2 linked regions of the Rhinolophus ferrumequinum genome follow. Each later gene encodes a partner of the first gene's protein in a complex. Links are inferred from orthologs where the notes say so. Each region holds a gene or a part of one and is shown in the gene's direction. Other genes may lie near its edges.

Region 1 (7,687 bases):
GGAAAGGCTCCATGTCACATATTGCTTCTGGTATAAGGCAATTTCTGTCAAATAAAAACATTATGGTGTGTTCTCATCCACCTTATTCATCAGATCTTGCACTGTGCTACTTCTGGCTGTTCCCCAAAGTCAAAATGACCATGAAAGGTAAATGTTTTGAATTGATTCAGGACATCAAGGCAGCCATGACAGTGCAACTAAAGACACTCACAAAAGAGGACTTCCAAAACTCCTTCAGAAAGCGGCAAGAATAATGCAATAAGTGTGTTCAGAGTAGGGAGGCAGGGTATTTTGAGAGGGATTATGGCAATGTGTCTTTTACTGTAATAATTTTTTTAAAGTTGAACATTCACCGTATTATTTGATCACATCTCGTAATTTCAGATGATTTCCCACACTGTAAAGGGTCAGTGTGTGTATGAGGGAGCTTGGAAAATCAATACATATCATTGTATAATCCTGGAACACTATGGGGAAAGAAAATTCTAAAAATGTTCAGAAAAGAAAAAAGTAGTCATATGTAAAGTTTTGGAATCAGAAGAGCTTTAGGCTTTGTATCAGTAGCACCAGAAATTAAAGGAAAAAGGAGCACTGTCTTCAAAATTCCCCAAGAAAATTATAAAGTATAACTCTATATTCAGCCAAAATATGAGTCAAGTGTAAACAGTGAGTTTTTAAAATGTCAGACATGCAAAGATTTAGAAAGTTTATAATACAAGCATGTTTTTTTTAAGGATAAGTGAATTAATACTCTTTCCACATGGCAGAAAATCTATAGATGCTGTTTAAAATTGATAATCAAGAAACAGAGGTATAAAACAGGGGATTTTAAGATTTTCAAGTAACCACCAGAAGAAACATCAATAAGACTTCAAAGTACTTGGGAGAATTAGAGGACCAGGGGGCCTCTGAGGATTGACTCATGTTCTTTCTTGCAAGTTTTATACTACTTGATTTTTAAACCATGTGCATGTAACAATTTGATTAAAATAATTTTATTTGAAAATCAAAATGGGAGTGAAGGGAAACTGAGGCATTGAAAGCAATGAGTATAATAGAGTTAGAGATAGAGGTAGGGGGAGAGTGAAGCATTTACTCTATGCTGTACAGGGTTTGTTATACATATGAAGCTCTTTATTCCTCCCAATGACTGAAAGAGAGAAATATCATTATACCATTTTAGAGATGAGGGAACTAAGGCTCAAGGAAGTTCAAAGAACTTGCTGAAAGTCACGCTGGGAATTGGCAGTATTAAGGCTGAACCCAAGTCGGACACGTTCCACTATGTAGTTTTGAATGTTGGCAAACAGGAGAAGAGAGAGAGATTTATATTGGCACCTAGTACAAGGGGAAGACAGCGAGTTTTTGACAGAGGAAATGCAAAGATAGTAACATAAGTTGAAGGTAAAGAGTCACAAGAGGCCAAGAATTGAAAATACAAGAGAGAGGAGGAATAATTGAGCTGAGCCTTAGAAAGTTTGTGGGGAGGAGCATGGTGATATGTACAAGAGTTCGCCCTGGGAAGGAGTAAAACTGTGGAAGGAGGTAAGAGTGGGTGACATTTTTAAGCTAGAAGTTGGAGAGGAGGGAAATTGAAGTGGTGATAATGGTTTTTCTGCGAAGTAGGAGGCTAGTTATTCTCCTGTGAATAAATGAGTAAGGGGAGCATTGGCTCTTTACAGGGGGTTGCGGGGAGGAGAGGAAGTTGGAACATTACTAGAGCATTTAGGAAAAAGAGCAGCGTTACCAGATTTAGCAAATAAAAATACAGCTCACGCAGTTAAATTTAAATTGCAGATAAACAACAAATGTGTATATATAGACATATATATAGACATATATATAGATATATATATATATAGACATATATATATCTCCAAAAAAAAATGTATACACATCTTAAGAAAGGAAAATGGTACTAAAATTGTAACACTCAATATATACCAATAACAAAAGATGAATACAAGTCATGTTTGACATCTGCAATTACAAGAGTTTCTCAAAGTGGTTACCATCAGCACTTCTGATTATGGTAAACTACTGCTTGAGCAACATTGACAAAAGTGTCTACTTGCAAACATTTTTTTGGCACCCTCAGTATGTATGCATATTAGTATAAGTCCCAAATATTGTATGGTATTTTCTCTGGCAACGCTTAGAGAAACATCAAAGCAAGCAAAGAACAATGTGCAAAGACACCAAAGAATAGCAAATCTGCTTTGCAATCAGAAATTTGGAATGGAGCAACCTCAGTGTCACTGCATAATCAAATAGTAATCTCAATACCATAGGAAATAAGCTAGAAACGTTGGGCTTGGCTTCCAGGCAACCGTGGACAGGGAGCTAGGCTAGCAGCCAGGAGATAACTTGAGGATGCAATTCTTAGGGCCACTCCTGCAAGTAATGGGAAGAAATGTGTGGGACCCCGTGGTTTGGAATTGGCAGGGAAACCATCTCTGCAAATAGCTTTGCCTCCTTTCTAATTTTGCCTGAGTGGTCATCTACACTTTATATCTCCTAGGTGTGTACTAAGGACGCGTGTTACTAAATAATCATCTACAAAGTATTTGAGCTCTTTGAAACATTGGATCAATCTTAAATGTTGTTCTCCCCAACCGTATTCATAAGAAAAGGACTGACTTAGCTGATGTAGTTCTTTGACATGTTTGAGGTTTAACGTGGTGGTTTGGAGTAGTGGTTAAGAATCTGTAGCCCATTTATGGTCATAGCCCATATTAACCAAGATGCTTAATATGTCTGGGACTCAGTTTCCTTGTTTGTAAAATTAGGGTAAGAATAATACTTAACTTATAAGGTTATTATAATGATTAAATGAGTAAATATGTGTAACACTTAGAATCTAGTACACATATATTAGAAGTACACTCTTACATTAAATATTATAGGTAGATAATGAGAGGTTTTATAAAAATTCACTAGTCTACCTTTGTATACACTTTATATACATACGAGTATATAGTCAAGAAATCAGTGGTTTTAAAAAGGCATTCATGGGGGTGGGATAGATAAGTAGGCAGAACACAGAGGATTTTTAGGGCAGTGAAAATATTTTGCATGATATCATAATGCTGGATACATGTCATTATACATTTGTCCAAATCCATAGAATGTACAACCCCAATAATGAACCCTAAGGTAAACTATGGACTTTGGGTGATAATGATGTGGTAATGTAGGTTCATCAATTGCAATAAATGTACCCCTCTAATAAGTGATGTTGATAAGGGGGAGACTACGCATGTGTGGAGGCACAAGATATACGGGAAACCTCTGTACCTTTCCAGTCAATTTTATTGTAAACCTAAAGCTTCTCTAAAAAAAAAAAAATAATAAAGTCTTAATAATAAAAAAGGTGATCAAAATTAAAATAACATTTAGTAAAACATTTCAGCAAAGAGAAAATGCTTCATGGTAAATAAAAAAGGACATTCATTAGTATACTTTTGTTGCAAGTTTTACAAGCAAGTGTTTTGTATCAGGAAATAAGTGGTTTTTAAAAGGACATTCATTAGCATATCTTTGTATACATTTTGTAGACATATATTGTCAAGAAATTAGTACAAATTTAAAACTGTAAAGCTAGAGGTTTGTTTCCCTTCAGGAACATAGCTTTCAATTCCCTGTTTATTGACTGAAGGAGTGTGACCTGGGAGTCCTGGCATCCGCAGTAGTTAAGGTTTGGAACCCTGCTCTGCCACTCACTAGCTAGGATATCTAGCTAAGCTGTCTGAGTGACATTTCCCTTAATCAATAAAATGACCTACAATGGCTACTTCAGAATAGTAGTGTTAAATTAGATCATCTATCTGCCGCCTGATATAGTCTGGGTATGCAATTCACTTTCATTCCTTTCCCTTTAAAGAACTCATAAAATTAGTGGATGGGGTGGAGTTTGACAAGTCCCACGGGGTGTGTTGTGCTGGGTTGACGCAACATATCTCCCCTTGCAAATGAATTAAATCCTCAAACCCAATCAGAATTCAGCCTAGAGTCTGTGATCTTTGTTTGTATGCACGGGCTAGTTGCATGCACTTTTGTTGTATTTGTGGGTATGTGCTGGGTCGTTGATGAGGGCTTTCAGACAGCTGTGAATTAACTGACACTTGATTTTTTCTTTTGCAAACTCATAAGATCCCAGAAGTCTGGGGTCTGTTTATTCACGCAGACTCCTTCTGAGTCATTCAGATACAGGGTGTGTGTCAATTGAAACTGCACAACGAAGTTTTGCGTTCACATCTGCAAGGGATAGGAAGCCAAGGTACTAGGTGGAAACGTCTTTGCCCATTAAGGCAGGGCAGAAGTGCTTTGAGCTTGTCACTGGAGGGGAGCTGACCAAGGCCACCTCTCATTCTCACATTCCGAAGTAGCATCTAAGCGAAAGGAAAGAGTGGGCGAGTTTTGAGCATGAAGGTTTGGGGGCGCCTCCCTAATAAAGGGGAAAAAAGGCTCACGCCCCAGCTGGGCTGGGCCCTGTGGCTCTTCCCCTTTGGAACTTCCTGAGCTGCACAAGGTTTCAAAAATCTCTCAGGACCCAGCAACTGTCCACCTCCTCAAAGGCCTCTCACCACTGGCTAGAATCTGGGGCAACTGCCTGACTTGGCGCCCAGTCGAGGGAGGAGAACACCCGCCCAACACATCTCCCGGCACCGGTCCATTTCACCGTGCCCTCGGGGAAAGCCACTTTCTGTCCCTCAGATCGCAAGTTTCCAGGCTGCAGCGGCATGGGGGTGGGCGTGGAGGTGGGGAGCAGTGGAGGAACCTCTCCGGCTATTCTCCCACTGTGGCTGCTTGCCTCGCGCAAACCTCCTGCAGCCCCTTCTCAGCCTTTTCCTCAGAGAAAGGCAGGGCTCCTGTTTCCCCTGCCTGAGCAGAAGTGGCCCCGGGCCGCCTGATTCCCCAAGGGGACCAGGGAGGTGCGCTGCGAGACGCTGGGCAGTCCTCTGGCCCCTAGGACTTTTCGGGAGAAAGTTTTCTAAAGGCTCTCCAAGTCTTCTCTTTCCCAAGGCTGGAGAGAGTGGTGTCCACCGCCCGGAGCGGCGGACAGCTGGGCGCCCGCCCTGATTTATACATTAGAGTCCAGGGGGCACCCGGCTACTCTGTCTCTCTGTCTCTCTGATTCTCTGTCTCTCGGTCTCTGTCTCTGTCTCTGTCTCTGTCTCTGTCTCTGTCTCTCTCTCTCTCTGTCTGTCTCTCTCCTCCCCCCTTCTCTCTTTTTTTGTTGCTTGGGGGTGGGGAGGGGTTCTTTTATTTGTTTCTGCCCCAGATCTTTCCTGGACAGTCTCAGCAGTGGAGATTCGGGGGCCCCCAGCCGCAGGCGGAGGGCGTGGGAGTTTGAAGCATTTAACCTCTTCCCGCCTCTTCTTAAAGAAGCCACCCAGCGTCAGCGGGCGCTCTGCGACTTCAGCTGGCGGGCCGGCGCGCGCCGCAGCGAGCGGGGCTGGCCAATGGAGTTGCGGCTGCGGAGGGAGGGGACCCCGACTGCAGTAAGTTTAGAGAGCGACACTGTCAGGCACCGGCAGCAGCAAGATGACGAGCGCTCAGTGCAGACCCGGAGCTCGTCGAACGCAACTTCGTCCCGCCTGAGCGAGGTAGGGGACGCGGGCTGGGGCGCCGTGCGGCCGCAGGGCTTCAGTGTCCGAAAGGAATTGTTAAACCGGAACGAAACAAAACAAAAACTTTTAAAACATCCATTTCTGGGCGCTGAAAACTTGCGTCTCTGGGCTACTAAGGAACCCAGCGCGGTGGGATTGCTCTTGGGCACTTGTGATTTATGAAGTTTGGGAAAAGGTCAAGTCCCAATTGTAGAATCGACTGGGGGTGGACGATAGTGGAAGCTGCGCTTGGTTGGAGTGGAGGGAGGGAAGGCGCTTATTTTTGGAAATCCTACAGACAAAGAATATGGGACGGGGGTGTTAGGGCTTAAATTTGCACTGCCGGCGAGCAGGGTGTGGAATTAGATGGGGAAACAGGGGAGCTTCTGGTCGTGAGCAGCCGCTGCTGTTCCAGGAATTGGTGGGATCGCTCTCGCCTTTATTACTCCACTTTTATTCCATTGCTGCATTACTTTGAAAGACTTAAACAACGTACAAATAGACTTCTGCCAACCAGGGCCACGTTGCATTCGGTGCACACTGTCTAGAAGAGGCAACGTGTTGGGGGAGGGCAGTAAATTCACCAGTTGTCCTTTTATGTGAGTTTCTGCAGAGTAGTTTTGCCCTTGCATTAGGAATGTAGTGACAGGTATTGTTATCGTAAGTGGTGTAACTTCTCTTTTTGTGTTGGCTATACCCACAGCAACTAAAAATACTCCTTATGCAATCCAGGAGTATAGGAGAACTTCTGGGATTTATTGCAATATCTCATTAATGGTTTTCACTGGGTACCTTGATGTGTTCTTGCACTGGCTTGCAAGAAAAAGAAGAAGAAAGAAAAGGCTGTTGCTTTCCGGAGGCGCTAACTTTTCTTGTTTACCACAAGGCCAGGGAGGGTTTGGCTGCTCACACCACGCTGCACCCTCGGACCCTAACCGCACCTGCTTCCAGAGTTATTAATAGAGCCCCAAAATGACTTAATGCCGTCAATGATTTTCGTGACAATCTAATTTCTTGCTAGGCAGTTAAGTGGGTCTGGTCTCATTCAGCTGGGTGGTGGCGGTGGGGCAGAGGTGTGTGGCTTCACCCTTGTATTGGCATTTGGGTCTCCTCCACAGAGCCGCCACCACCCCCTCCACGTTGAGGAGCTGAATGCTTCTGAGACTCTCCCGCTGCAAACTTGTCGGGGTGGGGATAGGGGGGCAGTGACAAGGTGGGAGTGGGGTTCAATGGGGCTCGCCCCTCCACTTTTCTCATTTCCATTTGAGTGGACTTAACCATAGGGAAAGTTTTCATCTTGTCGAGTTGGAGTTTCAGTTTGGATAAAATTTCTGTGTTTTTTTTTTTTCCCTTTCTTCCCCTTCCTTTTTTTTTTTTTGGCAAGAAATAAGAATTTGATTGTTTTTTTAAATCCCTCTCCCCACGTTTCCTTAAAACAAATCAACAAAACTGAGGCAATGCCTTAGCTAGAATGAATTGTGCAAGTGTGTCGTGGCTTTTCCCTGACTCTCTCTGTAACTTGTTTAAGGCTGCGGTTTCCGAGGCCCTCTCCAGCCAAGAAAAAGATACGCGAAAAGCCTGGATTTCTCTCATTGAATCACCCCTGATAGCAAGCGAAGGCTCTCTCCGCGTCGCCCTCTAGCGTTCGCTGGAGAAGCGGCACCTCCGGTTCCCGGAGACACTGCGCACCATGGGGTCCACCAGCATCCCGCTGGTCAAGACCCTCCGCAGCTCTGTCTCCGACTATGTCAATTATGACATCATCATCCGGCATTACAACTACACGGGAAAGCTGAATATAGGTGCAGACAAGGAGAACGGCATTAAAGTGACTTCAGCGGTGTTCATTCTCATCTGCTGCTTTATCATCCTAGAGAATATCTTTGTCTTGCTGACCATTTGGAAAACCAAGAAATTCCACCGACCCATGTACTATTTTATTGGCAACCTGGCCCTCTCAGACCTGTTGGCAGGAGTGGCCTACACAGTCAACCTGCTTTTCTCTGGGGCCAACACCTACAAGCTCACCCCCGCCCAGTGGTTTCTGCGGGAAGGGAGTATGTTTGTGGCCCTGT
Region 2 (7,618 bases), on another chromosome or scaffold:
ATTGCCACGTGTGTTTTATAAGAAGATTGAAAAGAGTTTATATGCACTGGTTTTGTTTCTTCAGTTCAATACATGTGTTTCTTTGCTTTAGAGAACTGAATCTATCAGGGCTGACCACACAAGAAGTTTGTTTCCATTTTTAGATGAATAAGGGACAATTGAAAAACCCTCTGACCCCAAAATCTCTCGTACACTGCCTCCTGACCCTCTACACTTTACTTTGTCCTATTTGCTGTATAATTTCACACGTAGAGATAGCTTCCTTTCATATAACAAACACTGATTAGTAATGTGAGCATATAAATTATTGTGACAGAAAGACACTCTTGCAAGTGAAATGACATGCTTTTAATAATTATATCAGGACAACGGGTGTCATCCAGGGCCGTGTTGGGCAACCCCTATTATTGTTCACAGCTTTACAGGAATTAAAGTTGACTGCTTCCCCAAATCTAAGGGAGGTTTCTTACACTTTGAAAAATGACTGTGGGAGAGAAGAGAGAATTAATGAACAATTTATTCATTTTGAAATAAAGTTTAGGCTATTGTAGAGGACTTGAACCACATGAGGGCCAGTGGATACCTAGTAGGCCTACTGATAACATATATTCCTGAGAATTTGACTGGTTTTTATGTTTGCAGTGTCTGCCTACTCCCAACTACACAAGTGCTGATTTCAACAAAATACTTTGGCTGCTCCCATAAAGACAGATAGAGAAAAATGATTTCAGAACAAAGGTAACAGATTTTGATCAATTTAATAATGTTTAAAGATATTTATTTTCTTACAGTAAGTTCTCTAGATATGTTTCTGTGCCCAATGGGTGCCAAGAAAATACACATTTTAAGAAAGGAAAAATAATGTATTAAAATTGTAATACTCCATATATACTGAGAACAAAAGATGGATACAAGTCATGTGTATACATTTTTTGGCACCTCCGGTATACATATATATATATATATATATATATATATATATATATATATATATATATATAATATTTATCCACCTGATTGGGGCTGAAGAAGCAAGAAAGCTTGAGCACATAAGCAAGTATCTTAATTTCATGAAAGCTGTCAGAGGTGGTTGTAGGAGACTGCAGCTTCTTCTGTCTGTCTGTATTCTAGGCAGACTAGAGCCATGCTGCACCATATCAGAAATTATGCTGTGGCTTCTCAGTTTTATCTCTTAGTGCCCTACATCAAATGAGGAACTTTCCCTTTTCATGACTTGTATCAAACTGCTATTTCTTTACATATCATTAGATATACCTAATATATACCAGTCACTGTGGTAGAAAACTAATTTTCTAATTTATAATGTTTTCTTCACCAAAAAAAGTATAAATTGGACACTAATAGTTTCATTTACAGATAAACCCAATGTTCCCTGGAGCTGTGTTAGTTTCCCAAAGCTCACAGTTAACAAATGCTTGAGTCGATATTCACATACATTGTGTCATGTATCCACCCAACAACTACTCGTTGAACTCCTATGTTCTAGTCCCTATTACAAGTACTAGAGATTCATTATTGAATAACATGGCCATACTCCTGCATTAAAGACCTTACTTTCTAGGTAGGGAAATAAATAATAATGATGATTTTTAAAAACACATATATATACCACATATATATATATTATATATATGTATAATATATATATGTGGTTTTAAATATATATATATATATGGTTTTAAAAATCATCATGTGTATGATGATTTTTATATATACACATGTATATATATACACACACATACATATCAATACAGATATATAAAATATATGAACTACAAGATTTCTAATGATGATATGTTCTATAAAGAATAGAGTGAGGTAATAAATTGTGACTAATAGGAAGTTTTATACAGGTGGAAAGTTCTGGTGAGGTGGAACATGTGAAGTGAATATAAACAAGAACAGTTAGCTATGAAAAATCAGTGCTCGCTTCGGCAGCATATATACTAAAATTGGAAAAATCTGAGAGCAGGGAGAACAAAAGCAAGAAAACACCCTATAAAATAAAAATAAGTTTAGCTTTGTCAAAGAATAGAATGAAGGTCAACATCGCTGGCCTATATAGGGAGTAGAGGGAAATTTGTGGGAGATGGTTATCTCTCTGTAAAAACTGTACTATTTTCATTAAGTTAACCTGCCTAACTTTTCTGGAATATTCAAACTTCAAAGCTAGTTTGTGTCCAGCTAAGAAAATTAATTTTCACACTTACATGGGAATCATCAGCGGGAAAAAGTACATGGTATAACTGGACCATGATTTCTATGTTAGCCCAATCAGCTGCTGAAAAGTCCTGCTTTGCATGTGGCAACAACACATGGTAAGGATTGTCAGTGTGTATAAGGATTATCTCTCTCTCTCTCTCTCTCTCTCTCTCTCTCTCTCTCTCTCTCTCTCTCTCTCACCTCCCCACCACTCCACCCCACCCCAAGACTTGGAAGATTTAAAAAAATGTTACAGATTTATAGCAGAGATATTATCTCATGCATTCTTCACAATACAGTGTGCAAAATTAGTGTCAGAGTGTGGATAAGAACCCAGATCTCCCAACTGTAGAAGGATAAATAAACACTTAAAAGATCTAAGTTGCTTTAACCCAAAGAAATTAGCAAAAGCATCAGCTATTCCGTTAAGTACTAAACTGAACTCCTTCAGCACTCATCAGCAGTACTCAAGTGTGCACTTGCTATCCAGTGACACTGCAAAGTCATATTTTCTGAACCCTACAATCCCACAAGCCTCTCCAAGTAACACTCTATATTTTGTAACTTTTATGTTTATATATATATATGTTCTTTCATTAATTCATATTTATTTATTTATTCACTCATTCAACAAGTTTGTACTGAGTATATGCTAAGTTCCAGTTATTACGTCAGGTGTTAGGGACAGATGGGACAAGTCAGAAAAAGGCCTTGCCCCCAAGCAGCTTATAGTTTCATAAGGAAAACAGATGACAAGCAATAATATAATGTCAGATATTGACAAGTGAGGTAAAAAAGGATAATAGTATGTGGAGACATAGAGTATGAGGTTCTATTTTACATATAAAAGGCAAGGGAAGACCTCTCTGGGCAGTGAGTTGAATTAAAGGGAGAGCAAGACATACAAGCAGATGAAGGAAGAACCTTTTAGAGAAAAGGCAAAGACCCTGTAGTGGGAGAATACTTGGCATTTTTGTCAGACAGCAAAGAAGTTACTGTTAGAGAGAGAAGCGGCCAATAGGAAAAATGGAAGGAGAGGTAGCCAGGGGCCAGATCATGGACCTCCTCAACTATAAGAAGGTTTGATAAGAAGCATTTGAGGATGGAAGGGGGAAGAGTTGAACATCTCACCAAAATGATTTCATTTAATTATAACAAAACTTTTAGCTGCTATTTGTAAAACATTCTAGGAAATTGACTGAAAAATAGAACGGAAGCAAAGAAAGCCTTTGGGACCAACATGTACCTCTTCATGTCTTAGGTAAACAAATAAATATGATGGCCTAACTAACTAATAACAAATGATAATTTACAATCCAGCTAAGCATAATATTTTCACAAAGGCTTTATTCTGAAAACAGAGTGTCTTTACTCTAAAGAAATCATCTTAATGATAAAATTTTCATACCAAGATTATTAACCAGAGTGACATTTTGATCCCCTCCTTAAATCATCGTACGTGGGTGTTCTACATTCACTTTGTGTTGAGCTTAATAACTGATCTGGATGATATTGACATGGCAATATATTTTTATAGTAATTATATACAAATGTCTTAAACTTCAGAGGTATAGTATAAAAAAATAATCCAGAAGATAGGGAAAAAACAGCAGAATAAGATACAACTGAGGGGAAATAAGAGTGATCTAAATGACAGTAAAGTATGAAAAAAATTAACAGGAGGTAAATGAAAGAGATAACTCAAGATAAACAATTTTAGAACATAGAAAGGAAGTTCCAGACCACAGGGTTTCTATTTCCTGCACTAAAGCAGCTACTTACCAAATGATACCTTAAAAAAAAGAACTGGTCCCCAGGGAAGAAGTGAATGACAAACTTCTGAAAGCCAATTTATAGCTTCCTAAGAAAACTCTTCCACACTGAAGAGAGATCCATGAGGATAGAGATCTTAAAATTTGTACTCAATGATAAATTATCTAGCCCCAAACGGTGTCAGGGTCATAGTGGATGCTCAATAAATATTAGTAAAATAAATGCAAGAATGGGATTCCAGGGAAATATTACTCTCCAAATTATTTCCATCTCAAAGATAAGAATCCCTAACTGTTAATTCTTTACTTAGATATGCTGTCTTCATAACTATGTTTTGTTTTCTACAAATTTAAGGAAGGATGTCACCGATTCGGGAAAATCCCATCTGTCTGTGCATACCACACCTACAGTTGTGAGAAAGCATATTTCAGACAGCAGGGAAAACCCATAGCTCACCACAACAACACATTGTAAATTGTCTGGGCCACTAGAGCATAAATTAAAGCGAACAGGAGTAGTTGAGTGATTGGAAGGCAAGAGGAAGGGGGTGGGGAAAACATAACTGACTATAAATGCTCAGATTCTTCAGAGGCTCAGACACTGAGCAAGAGCTCCAGCAAAGACTTTCATTGTAGATTGGCTTTACCTGAAATTAACCAGAGATTCTTGACTAGAATAAAGATGAATTCGGAAGATTGTTCCCTAACAGAGAACAGCTCCTTGCATCTGGAGAGAGGACAACAAAGTAAGTCAGATCTTATTTTTATGTACTGGTAATAACTACCTATCTAACTATACAGATGATATATAACAATACTTAGGGAAGAAAATGAGGCTTTGTCTTTTCAAGAACTTAGTTACATCCTATTTCAGTCAGGATAAAAGAGAAAATGATAAGAATTATATATTTCTTCATATATGAGAAGATATGATTCCAGAGAATAGAGGGAAACAGAAAGGAGAATTTTAGAAGATATTCAAAGATCTGTTTCTTTGTTTCCATTTATTCCTTCTCAATTTTTCAGATTTAACTAGAAAATTCCCTGTACTTGCACAGTACACTCTCCATCATTTTTCCATATCCAACTCCTCCAGGAAACATTGCCTCTCTTCACAAAAATTGTTTTCCACATAAACAATTACATTCTTGATTGCCTTCACCTTGTATCTTTGTGTGTTTCCTGTGTGCCTTATCTTACGTTCTCATGACAGCATTTTCCAGTTGCTATAAATGAAGGTTTCCAATCTTTGAGAAAGCAGCCATATGAGCATCTGAACATGTACAGCGTCCAACAATAATTTATCAGGAGAATGTCATGAAACAATTCTTGAAAATGACATTTTCTGCCTCTGTATTCTTACAGGACTCTTTAGTTCCATTTCATCCTTCTCTCTCACCTTTCCAATCACTGACTTCAAATTCTGCATAAATGAGACATTATTCTTTCTTTTATTTTTCATCAAAATATGATCATTTTAGCAATGCTATACTTTTTCCTCTCTTCTATTTGTCTATTCTATCCATAGACCTGTTCTATTTCTTATTACCAAAATTTTTCCATTGTTTTCCTTTAACTTGTTTCTGTGAGACTTCCTTGATTTTTTTCATTTATCCCTCTTCCTCTCTACTTATTGAGGTACCCCCAAACCTAGCATGTAGGAAGTGGAGTTTATTTGTAAGAAAGCTATACAGTATTAAAGGGATGTGTTATGAACAGCAGAGCTGAAACAATCTAGAGGAAGGCATTGTTTTTGAAGTATGTGTCTACGAGACTGCTTTGCATCAGAAAAGCTTCAATTACCTCCAATAAACCCATCTATAACTTAAGAACACAAAATCACTTGTGGATAACAAGTGCAAGCCACACAAATTTTTTGGTAATTAGGTAACCATAACTTTATGTCCCAGATGAGCTGCTAAAAAGAGCAACAATTATAATAATAAAACTACTCAATAAACAGAGGGCATAGTTGAAAGAAGAATGACCTAATTCAGGAATTCTTAACTTTTCTTTAGATCATCCCAATTTTGTATTGAATGCTTAGTTTATGCTGCCCTTGCTTCATTTGTATGGACAATCATTAGGCATCACCCTTTGGTAACTCAATATGTAAGGGTGGGTTTATTTCCAATTTCTCCATTAATGGACAAGGCCCATAATCAGAGCGGAAGTATACTGTTGGGGGAGTGTTTTGTCACCTAGGTGATAAATCAAACTGAGTAACAATAGCCCTCACTAATGGATATAAAATATAATCTGAGAATCATCCCCACAGTTTACCCATTGGATAATGGGCAATGTCAGCCAACAAATTGACGTAGGCTTTGGAGTACATGAGGTATTTGTATGAGTTAGTACTGGCTCAGGAATGAGAGCTGCATTGAGTCTAAGCAGCATGAGGAGAAGTGAAACTAGATAAAGAGCTCCGAACTTGCTACCCTATCTACCAAGGTCTGTTTCTGGTGACAATTGTATACCAGTGAAAAAGGGAAGATTAGTTTTGAGAAGCTGAAAGAAATAGAACTACGTGGGAGGGAAGTAAAGGCATCTCTTGGGAAATCTAAATGCAGATCTACGCGAGGAAAGACAATTCCCAGAAGAAGCAAAAGCTGATGCTGAGATCCAGTACATGGTAAATTACTATGAAAGAAAGCAACATCTCTTTGCTCAGTTTAACTTTAGAGAAGTGTTTTAAGGCAAAAAATACATGCGTTTCAAGATACATGCTTTTAATTATGAAAGTCATCCATACTGAAAGACAAGATATTTTTGCATTGTGAGGCTTTTTTATGGTAAATCTTAATATCATTCAAGTAGCAATTTTGCATTTCATTTTTAGAGAACACAATTGAGAACTCTATATTTCTTGTGCGGCAAATTGTAAAAATCCTGATAGCTCATCCTAACAAAAACTGAAATTCAAACTCTGAGTCGCAAAATCCCCTTCTCTCCTTTCTCAATTATTTATTTATATTCTAAAACAGATATTCTTCCAGTTTTTGTGTGTGTGACTAAGATTCGTGATTCACATTATATTCATATTCTAAATCCTTCTATAAAAATATTTCTTATTGGTGAAATCAAAGTCTTACTTTGTTTCAACATTATACAGAGGATAAATGAAACTTCCACCCAATATTTGGTTTATAATATTGTTATGTTTCTTCTATTATTTTAGCTTCTCTTCAAAAATTCAAATATTTTATCCATTTACATATCATTTTTAATTGAGGTAGAATTTCCATACAAGGGATGCATAGATTCCAAATGTAATTTAATGAGTTACAACTGCAACTTCAATCAATATTTGAAATTTTCATCACTCTAGAAAGTTCCCCTGTTCCTTTCCACTCAAACTACCCTTGCTACACACATAAAACAATCACTTTTCTGATTTCTGTCACCATAGTTTAGTACAACTATTCTTGAATGTCAAATAAATTGAAATATACAGTGTATAACTGTAGTTGGATATTTTACAATCAACTTTTTTTTTTTTTTTTTTGGTTACTGAGTAGAATTTCCTTGTGTGGATATAGCATAATGTGTTTATCCATTTTTCCTGCTGATGGTCATTTGGGTTATTTCTAGGAATTGGCTCTTAAAAATAAAGCTGCTAT

What was found. Proteins that work in one complex are often made in the same cells at the same time.
Region 2: the proteins of S1PR1 (region 1) and CD69 are in contact, whole or in part, in a cryo-EM structure (PDB 8G94), measured with the Homo sapiens proteins. The link is inferred for Rhinolophus ferrumequinum from reciprocal best matches to the Homo sapiens genes S1PR1 and CD69. Residues at the interface, in NP_001307659.1 of Homo sapiens: Asn157, Leu160, Phe161, Ile164, Ser165, Trp168, Val169, Leu172, Ile173, Gly176, Ile179, Met180, Gly181; in NP_001772.1 of Homo sapiens: Val41, Ala44, Val45, Val48, Val49, Thr52, Ile53, Ile56, Ile59, Ala60, Val63.

The regions. Positions count from the first base shown.
Region 1 is NC_046305.1:36,520,366-36,528,052, forward strand, and holds the start of S1PR1 (sphingosine 1-phosphate receptor 1), read left to right. Parts: upstream 1-4,679; 5' UTR 4,680-4,934; intron 4,935-5,388; 5' UTR 5,389-5,609; intron 5,610-7,140; 5' UTR 7,141-7,302; coding exon 7,303-7,687.
Region 2 is NC_046293.1:25,602,063-25,609,680, reverse strand, and holds the start of CD69 (early activation antigen CD69), read left to right. Parts: upstream 1-4,608; 5' UTR 4,609-4,677; coding exon 4,678-4,741; intron 4,742-7,618. UniProt on the Homo sapiens protein: Transmembrane protein expressed mainly on T-cells resident in mucosa that plays an essential role in immune cell homeostasis.